2 linked regions of the Ovis aries genome follow. The protein of the gene in region 1 binds, or shares a complex with, the protein of each later gene. Links are inferred from orthologs where the notes say so. Each region holds a gene or a part of one and is shown in the gene's direction. Other genes may lie near its edges.

Evidence for each region. The genes of interacting proteins can lie anywhere in the genome.
Region 2: the proteins of PLEKHM2 (region 1) and ARL8B are in contact, whole or in part, in a crystal structure (PDB 8JCA), measured with the Homo sapiens proteins. The link is inferred for Ovis aries from reciprocal best matches to the Homo sapiens genes PLEKHM2 and ARL8B. Residues at the interface, in NP_055979.2 of Homo sapiens: His70, Phe71, Thr72, Arg73, Arg74, Glu75, Glu103, Ser105, Glu107, Ser108, Tyr109, Arg111, Leu112, Glu115, Glu147, Phe148; in NP_060654.1 of Homo sapiens: Glu22, Thr52, Val53, Gly54, Phe55, Asn56, Met57, Lys68, Trp70, Arg77, Phe78, Arg84, Tyr85, Arg87, Gly88, Val89.

What each region holds. Positions count from the first base shown.
Region 1 is NC_056065.1:51,135,299-51,139,520, reverse strand, and holds part of PLEKHM2 (pleckstrin homology domain-containing family M member 2), read left to right. Parts: intron 1-112; coding exon 113-177; intron 178-498; coding exon 499-587; intron 588-1,202; coding exon 1,203-1,335; intron 1,336-1,551; coding exon 1,552-1,742; intron 1,743-2,060; coding exon 2,061-2,126; intron 2,127-2,639; coding exon 2,640-2,799; intron 2,800-3,121; coding exon 3,122-3,301; intron 3,302-3,389; coding exon 3,390-3,506; intron 3,507-4,149; coding exon 4,150-4,222. UniProt on the Homo sapiens protein: Plays a role in lysosomes movement and localization at the cell periphery acting as an effector of ARL8B.
Region 2 is NC_056072.1:21,220,070-21,224,291, reverse strand, and holds part of ARL8B (ADP-ribosylation factor-like protein 8B), read left to right. Parts: intron 1-556; coding exon 557-637; intron 638-1,968; coding exon 1,969-2,042; intron 2,043-2,676; coding exon 2,677-2,770; intron 2,771-4,222. UniProt on the Homo sapiens protein: Small GTPase which cycles between active GTP-bound and inactive GDP-bound states.

The sequences.
Region 1 (4,222 bases):
TCAGATAGCAGGGCGAGGGCAGGTCCTCACTGAGAAAAGGTCTTAGGAAATGGGGCAGGGGAAGGGCAGAGAGGCCCCCAGGGATAACAAGCACTGGGGTCTCCTCTCTCAGGGGCCACAGAGAAGCCATACTTGGTGGAAGAGGCTGTTTCTTACAATGAGCTCGACTATGTGTCGGTGAGTTCGGGCTCTGTGGCTGGTGTGTGCTGTCTGTACGGCTCCACGGGCCACCAAGCCTCAGAGCTGCAGAGCGAGGCCGACCCCTGGCCTCAGTCCCAGGGTGGGTGCCAGTTCTCATCTACCCCCGGGATGCCAAGGATAAGAACCAAGCCCAAGGGTCCCTCTTCCTCCTCTATACATCCGACCATCCCTTCCCACTTCATGGTGACCCCAGTCTGTGCTTCTTCCCCCCCAAGCCCGCCCTCTACCTGGCCATGGCTGCCCCTGTGGCAGCCGCGGCCAAGCTCCATGTGCATGTGAGGGTGTGGTTTCCGGCAGGTGGGCCTCGACCAACAGACGGTGAAGCTGGTGTGCACCAACCGCAGGAAGCAGTTTCTGCTGGACACAGCGGACGTGGCCCTGGCCGAGTGCGTGACACGCCCCTTCCGCCGGCCAGGAGACGGAGCATGCACTTCCGGCCTGGCCACACCCCTGGGGGGGAGGGTGGGAAGTGGGCTTTGAAGAAGTAGAAAGCAGAGACGAGTTTCCTTTGGACCCTGCGGTCCGGGCAGAGAAGCAGGGGGTTGACAGACACAGTGACCGACTGGGGAACCTCAGACCCTCAGTGGCCCCCAGAGAGGAAAAGAGGGCTGGCAGAATCGCCCCCACAGGACAGAAAGCACAGCCCCTGCTTCTGGGCCACGGGGCCACTCTTGGCCCACGTGCTTCCGTGCGAAAACTGTCTATCCTGAGGGCGGGTCTTCATCTGAGTCCTGCTGCGTCACTTCATCCGGGCTTCCCTTGTGGTCAAGACCCAAGGTTCCTTGGCCATCGTGAAGGGTTAGGTTTCCCAGACCACCGTTTGATGACCATGGACGGCTGCCACCTCATTGCCCCACCCGCCACCTTAGCTCTGGTTCCAGATGGGTCCCTCCCCTCAAACCCTGTGACCCCTTCAGGTCAGACGTCCTCAGGACTAAGCCCTGTCCCTGTGAGGGGTGGGGGCCCCAGGCCTCTGACAGCAGACCCCACTCCCCACACAGGTTCTTCTTGGCTTCTTTGAAGTCAGCCATGATCAAGGGCTGTCGGGAACCCCCCTACCCCAGCATCCTGACTGACGCCACCATGGAGAAGCTGGCTCTGGCCAAATTTGTGGCCCAGGAATCTAAGTGTGAAGTAAGAACCTGGGGAGGAGAGGCTGTTGTCCCCGAGGTGCGAGCCCTCGTGTCAGGGTCACGAGGTGCAGACAGCGGGCGTCCATGTTTCTCCATCATCTGCCTGCAGCAGGCTCTCTCCTCCTCCCCAGCTGGGGTGTGTCCTCACCCTGACAACGGCCATTCTTGCTTCTGACCCCAACCTCACCGCTCTGTCCCCTGCCCCCTCCCTCCCCAGGCGACCGCTGTTACTGTGCGTTTCTATGGGCTTGTGCACTGGGAGGACCCCCAGGACGAGTTCCTGGGCCCCATCCCCTGCCACTGCTCACCCCCCGAGGGCAGCATCACCAAAGAAGGCATGCTGCATTACAAGGCGGGCACCTCCTACCTGGGCAAGGAGCACTGGAAGACCTGCTTCGTGGTGCTCAGGTGAGAGCTCTGGCCCGGAGGCTGGGGTGGGGGACAGCACCCTCCTTCCTACGGGGAACCTAGAACTTCTCTGTGTTGTCAGCCGCATAGGGCCCAAGGAAGCCCAGGACATCTCCGGTGCAGACTAGGGCTGCTGGCCCCAGGTTTGGGGGTACGCATTCCTTGTGGGACCTCTGTAGTTTTTCCACCCTCCCAACCTCCCCAGCCTCCTTGGCCTCTGTGTTTCAAGCCCCAGCTTGCAAGGATCCCCAGGATGTAGTCTCTGCAGGCCCCCAGATCTCAGCCCAGACTCACCCCTGCCCCGTTGTGCCCCTGCAGCAACGGGATCCTCTACCAATATCCTGACCGCACCGACGTGACGCCCCTGCTCTCAGTGAACATGGGGTGAGTGTCCTGGGCAATGGGGTTGCTGGGCAGGTATTGGGGCCTGTGTTGCTGCCAGGTCAAGGTGTGCTCAGCCCCACCCCCACTCAGTGCCCTGGGGTCCGCTGAGCTCTGGGGGAAGCAAAAGGAGCTCCCTGCCTGGAAAGGATCCAGTCTGATGGGGAGTCAGTCCTTCCCCTGGGAAGCGCCTGACCTAAGGGGGAGTTGAACACACATACACCTGGAGGGAGCGCCAGGCCCACAGAGGTGGGCAAAGCACACTGATCCTGAGAGGGCGGGGCTGAGAGCCGACTCTCCACCCCTCACCTGGCCCTGTTCAGTATGCAGAAGGACTTTGGTAATCCTGGAGATTAAAGGTGTTACACAGAAAAGAGGTCGGGGCGGGGCTGCCCAGCTGTGGGGTCTGGACCACCCTCTGGTGTCCTCCAGACCCGAGACTCTGGGGCAGCCCCAGGAGCTCCCCTGTGCCACCCCTGCCTCCTCGACCCGTCTCACCCTCCTCCTCTGGCCCAGGGGGGAGCAGTGCGGTGGCTGTCGGAGATCCAACACCACGGACCGGCCCCACGCCTTCCAGGTCGTCCTCGCCGACCGGCCCTGCCTGGAGCTGAGTGCTGACAGCGAGGCTGAGATGGCCGACTGGATGCAGCACCTGTGCCAGGCCGTGTCCAAGGGGGTGAGCGCCTGCTCCCCTCCCCCAGCCTGGGCCCCCAGGGCCCCTCCCTACACCCAGACGCAGCACAGAGCAGCCCCCGAGGACCAATCAGGACCTCCAAGAACCAGCCCAAGAGTCCACCCTGGAGCTTAGGGCCACCCGTGGCCTGACGCTCCCACCATCACTGGGGCCAGCCCCTGTACTCCTGAGGTGGGCGGAGTCTGCTTGACCTCTGGAGGGCTGGGCAGAGGGGCTGGCTGGCCCCTGAAGCAGGGTGTCCTGGTGCAGACCAGCCCTGGAGAGCTCCAGCTTGCCCCTCCCTTCCCCCACCCATGCCCCCCAGGTCATCCCCCAGGGGTTAGCTCCCAGCCCTTGCATCCCTTGCTGCCTGGTAATCACCGATGACCGCCTCTTCACGTGCCACGAGGATTGCCAGACCAGCTTCTTCCGCTCCCTGGGTACTGCCAAGCTGGCCGACATCATTTCTGTGTCCACTGAACCGGGCAAGGAGTACTGCCTCTTGGTGAGCCGGGTGAGGGGGGCAGGTGATGGAGGCAGGCCCTGCCACAGGAGTGCTGAGTCTGCTCACCTGGGGCCCCTGCTCTGCCCAGGAGTTCTCCCAGGACAGCGCACAGCCCCTCCCACCCTGGGTTGTCTACCTGAGCTGCACACCTGAACTGGATCGATTCCTATCTGCACTGAACTCAGGGTGGAAAACCATCTACCAGGTACCCAGCTGCCAGAGCCCCGCAGAAGGGAGTCCTTCCCTGGGGAAAGGCGCCCTGCACGGCACAGACCAGGGCAGGCGTCAGGGGCCCAGGGAAGCGCTGAACTAGGAGCTCCAGGACAGATATCGGTAGGACCAAAGGGACAGGATGCTAACTCCCTGGGAAGCTGAGGCTAAAGCTGAGCGTCGAGCCCAGGAAACACCATTCTTGACCTTCTCAGTCCCCATCAAAAAGCAGGATTTAAGGGCTTATAGTGGGGCTAGAGCTGCGCTAAGATGGTGGGGGCATAGAGCTCAGAGCCAGGCTGAGGGGGCCTCATCGAACTCCGGGACAGATCCTGGTATGAGCACGTGCTATGCTGCCCCTCAGAAGCTTTGGGCCCACCTTTGGCAGAGCGCATTTCCACAGGCAGACTCCCAGGTACAGAGCCTGCCTCCTGGTGCCACCCCCAGCCCCCACCCCCAAGAACCGGTGCACCCCTGGAAGGAGGAAGCTCAGGGAGCATCGCCTGATGGGCTGGAGCCCTTGTTTCTCAGCAGCATGGACATAGTTCCAGGGCAAGGCTACACCTGGTGTGGAGAGACCCCTCGGCTCCCTGAGAGCTCTTGGCGCAGCCCTCAGATTCCTGCCATGCCCCACACAGGTGGACCTCCCCCACAAGGCCTTCCAGGAAGCCTCCAAGAAGAAGTTCGAGGATGCCCTGAGCCTCATCCACA
Region 2 (4,222 bases), on another chromosome or scaffold:
ATGCATCTCTTCAGAATCTATGGCTATCAGGAGTATCTTCTGAAGGTTACCATCACTGAAAAATAGTTACTTGCTTAGCACTGAAGAACTGATGCTTTTGAACTGTGGTGTTGAGAAGACTCTTGAGAGTCCCTTGGACTGCAAGGAGATCCATCCAGTCCATTCTAAAGGAGATCAGCCCTGGGTGTTCTTTTGGAAGGAATGATGCTACAGCTGAAACTCCAGTACTTTGGCCACCTCATGCGAAGAGTTGACTCATTGGAAAAGACTCTGATGCTGGGAGGGATTGGGGGCAGGAGGAGAAGGGGATGACAGAGGATGGGATGGCTGGATGGCATCACCGACTCAATGGACGTGGGTTTGAGTGAACTTCAGGAGATGATGGTGGACAGGGAGGCCTGGTGTGCTGCGATTCATGGGGTCACAAGGAGTTGGACACGACTGAGCAACTGAACTGAATATGGGTACAGAAGTAAAGTTGATGTGAAAGGTTATACAGTGTTGCAGTTTTAATAAGTAACAATTAGTCTAACTTCAAATGTTTTCTTTCATTCAGTCAGGTCAGTTCAGTGAAGATATGATACCTACAGTGGGCTTCAACATGAGAAAAGTAACTAAAGGTAACGTCACAATAAAGGTACGTCAGCTGCTTGCTGTACTTGATGTAAATTGTTAATAGCACATACAAATTAGGAGTTTTTCTGTTTCTTTGGTTTTTACATGAGTATTGGCAATTCTTAATTGGGCATGTTCCAAAAGAGTGTAAATTAATTTTTTTCCTTCTTTTTCTGATGTTTAAGTGTTGAAATGTTCAGTCTCATGAAAAACTTTGCATATGGGTTGGCAAAAGTAATATTTGGGATTTAGATGTTCCTAGGAAAGAAAAATCCCATCTTCAGAGTGTTTGGAATGTAATATTGCATATATTTCATGAATAATTTATGTTGAAAGAGAGTAACTGTTTATAATATTGGTAATTTAGTATTGTATTTATGGTAGCAAATAAGGTAACCTAGTTTTCCTTTCTTTACTACTAAGCCCCAAAATTGAAACTTTAAAACAGTAAAAAGTTAATTAGTTTAACATCATTTTGTTTCTAGAATAAGTATGATAGGTTTGTGTTGTGGACTGTTGGACCGGTTTTTAATTTATTTTTATTATTTTTGACTCCTTTGTTCATGTGGGGAGTTTTGCTTCTATAGCCTGAACCCTTATGGCCGTTTTACCCAGTCCTTCTGGCTCACAGAAGCTGTTTACTAAATTCTTTCTGTAGCTTATCTAATGAAGCTTCTAATGTCTCATGTGTATGTCATTATGGATGCATCCAGTGTCTGTAGCTAAATTGGAAGCCTTTTGAAGATAAACATCATGACTTAAGACCTTTACATAGCCCTCCAGAGTAGCCATAATAGTGAAATGACTGTAGTTGGTGGTTTTCATATGGATAAAATAATTTTATATAAGAAAAGCACCTAGGTAGGAATATTTTCTGTTATATACAGAATAATTTAAAATGATTACATTCTAATATATATACCCCATCAGACAATTACACTTTAATAGATTCTGAATGAAGAGGTTTTTTTTTTTTTCCTCTTGGACTTCAAATGTGGATGATGTGTGATCATGCAGATTCTAAGAGTACTGTTTTTTTAAAAATTGGTTTTCAGTATTGGAAATCTATTGGTTAACAGGCAAAGAAAGTATGGCCCCAAAATGAAATCTTTGCTCAGGCAGCACCTATTAGATCTAATGTAAACGTATTAAATACGAACTTCAAGTTCAGAAATGTCCCCAGGAACTTCCAGGTCAAGAGCTTGTTTGAGCTCAAATTTTTCCAAAGCAGTTTGGCTCTAACATTGTGGAGCTGAGCATATCTGCTTCATTTTTTCCCTTCTGTCTGCCACTTTTTTCGTCACTGTGTTATTTGAAACATTGTTATTAAGATTTGTCTATCTTGATTTGAAGATTTGGGACATAGGAGGACAACCCCGCTTCCGGAGCATGTGGGAACGGTACTGCAGAGGAGTCAATGCTATTGTGTAAGCTGCCTCCCTTCCACCCCCACGCCCTGTCCCCCATCCCCCCTTATAGTCAGTTTAGGTTTCAAGGGAATAAGTCATTTTTCATACTTTTAAAGGCTTAAGTTTTATTTCTGGCAGTAAAATCATTTTTAGGTATTTTCTTAGTATAATTTCCCATTAACATCAGACTTTAAAAAAAGAAATCATCAAATGAGTGTTTTTTTTTCTCTATGTTGCTAAGAGCTAATGGATATACATGTTTTACTGTCATGTCTTAGCCCCCTAAAGAACAGTCTATTTCTCTGCTTATTTTATTGATGTATAGTTGCTTAACAGTATTAGTTTCAGGTGTACAGCATAGTGATTAAGTGTTTTTGCAGGTTATATTCCATTATGGGTTATTGAAAGATAATGGGTATAATTTCCTGTACTATATAACATATCCTTGCAGCTTATCTAATTCTGTATATAGTAGTTTGTATCTGTAGGACAGTCTGTTAAAAAGTATTTTCGGGTGACAGCCTTTCAAAATCTAGGACTTAATTTTGATCAACAGTTTTAGTAGTATAAATTAAGAAAATTAAAAGTTTGTTCATTGTGATCATCAAAGAATATGGTGGAGGCATTTTGAGATCACTTTTTTTTTTTAAAGTTACATGATAGATGCTGCAGATCGTGAAAAGATAGAAGCCTCTCGAAATGAACTACATAATCTTCTAGATAAACCGCAATTACAAGGAATTCCAGTAAGTATGGTTAATTTCACATTATATGATTATAATATTTGTAGTTATATTATTAAAAGTTTAATTATGCATTTTAGTTAATTATGTTTGAAATTAGTAGAGTGTCTTATTTGTTTTAAAGTCTGGACAGCTTATATTTACTGAGTATCCATCATATGCTGGGCAGTGTGCTATTTAGTCATTTCTTAAGCTGTTTAGTGAACTGTATGTAGTAGAAGCAGTGCTTGGTCCTGGGGAAATAGTAGTGAACAGAAGTAGATAGAAACATGCTTCCTGCCATCATGGGGTTTATGGTTTAATAGGAAGCTAGGTAGATGATACGAAAATGGCTTGAATAATGCAGCTCTGATAAGTGCTATGAAGGAGAGATTTGATATAGTTTGAGAGAAGAAGGAAAGATTCCCCAAGAAGTGCTGCTTGAGCTGAGATGTGAGGGATGTGTAGGCATGTGAGGGATGTGAAAATTGGAGGAAAAGAGAGTTGCAGGCAGAGGCTCTTAGGAAGTGGGATTTGCGAGGAGGCTGGTGTCCCTAGAGCACTGAGCAGAGTGGACAGGTAGAGCATTGTGAGCCTGTGATAGCAAGGGTACTTCAGGAGGCTGTGCTGGGTGGGACTGGCTGTTTTAAATGCTCAGGCTTATCTAAATCATTCTTGTTTCAGTTTAAAAATGGATTGTACGGGGACTATTCCCAGGTGGCGCTAGTGGTAAAGAACCCACCTGCCAGTGCAGAAGACGTAGGAGACACGTGGGTTCGATCCCTGGGTTGAGAAGATCCCCTGGAGAAGGGCATGGCTACCCACTCCAGTATTCTTGCCTGGAGAATCCCTTGGACAGAGGAGCTTGGCGGACTACAGTCCATGGAGTGGAAAAGAGTCAGACACAACTGAAGCAGCTTAGCATAAGGAGGACAGTTTTAGGAAGCTATTGAAACAGTTTTCAAGTTCAAGACAGTTTTGAACTTGTCTTGGCAAAATAGAGTACCATGGATTGGGGTGGTCATAGACAAGGTTGTGAGAAGGAAATAGATGTGGAGGCTATTTAGGAATACAGTCCACCAGACTTAGCAGGGAAGATAAACAGGGTAATTCCTAGTTCCTGGCTAATATGGTTAGATGGAAGGTGGTGCCATTTGTTGAGTGAAAGAATGCTGGAAAAGGCCCAGGCTTTACCCTCATGACAAGGTCATGAGGGTCAGATCTCTGAAGTATGTTATCTCAGTTAATCACAGTGTACTGAGGTTGATGGTGTGATTCCTCCTGGTAACAGTTGTTATTTGCACAGGATCACATGGCGACCAGTGTATTACACAGCCAGGTTTTGAATCTGTTTATTTCTGACTTCAAGGCCTATCCTTTTTCTTCTATGTTAAGTAGTTCTGCATGTCGTTGTTCAGTTGCCTAGTCATGTCCGACTCTTTGTGACCCCATGGATTGCAGCATGCCAGGCCTCTC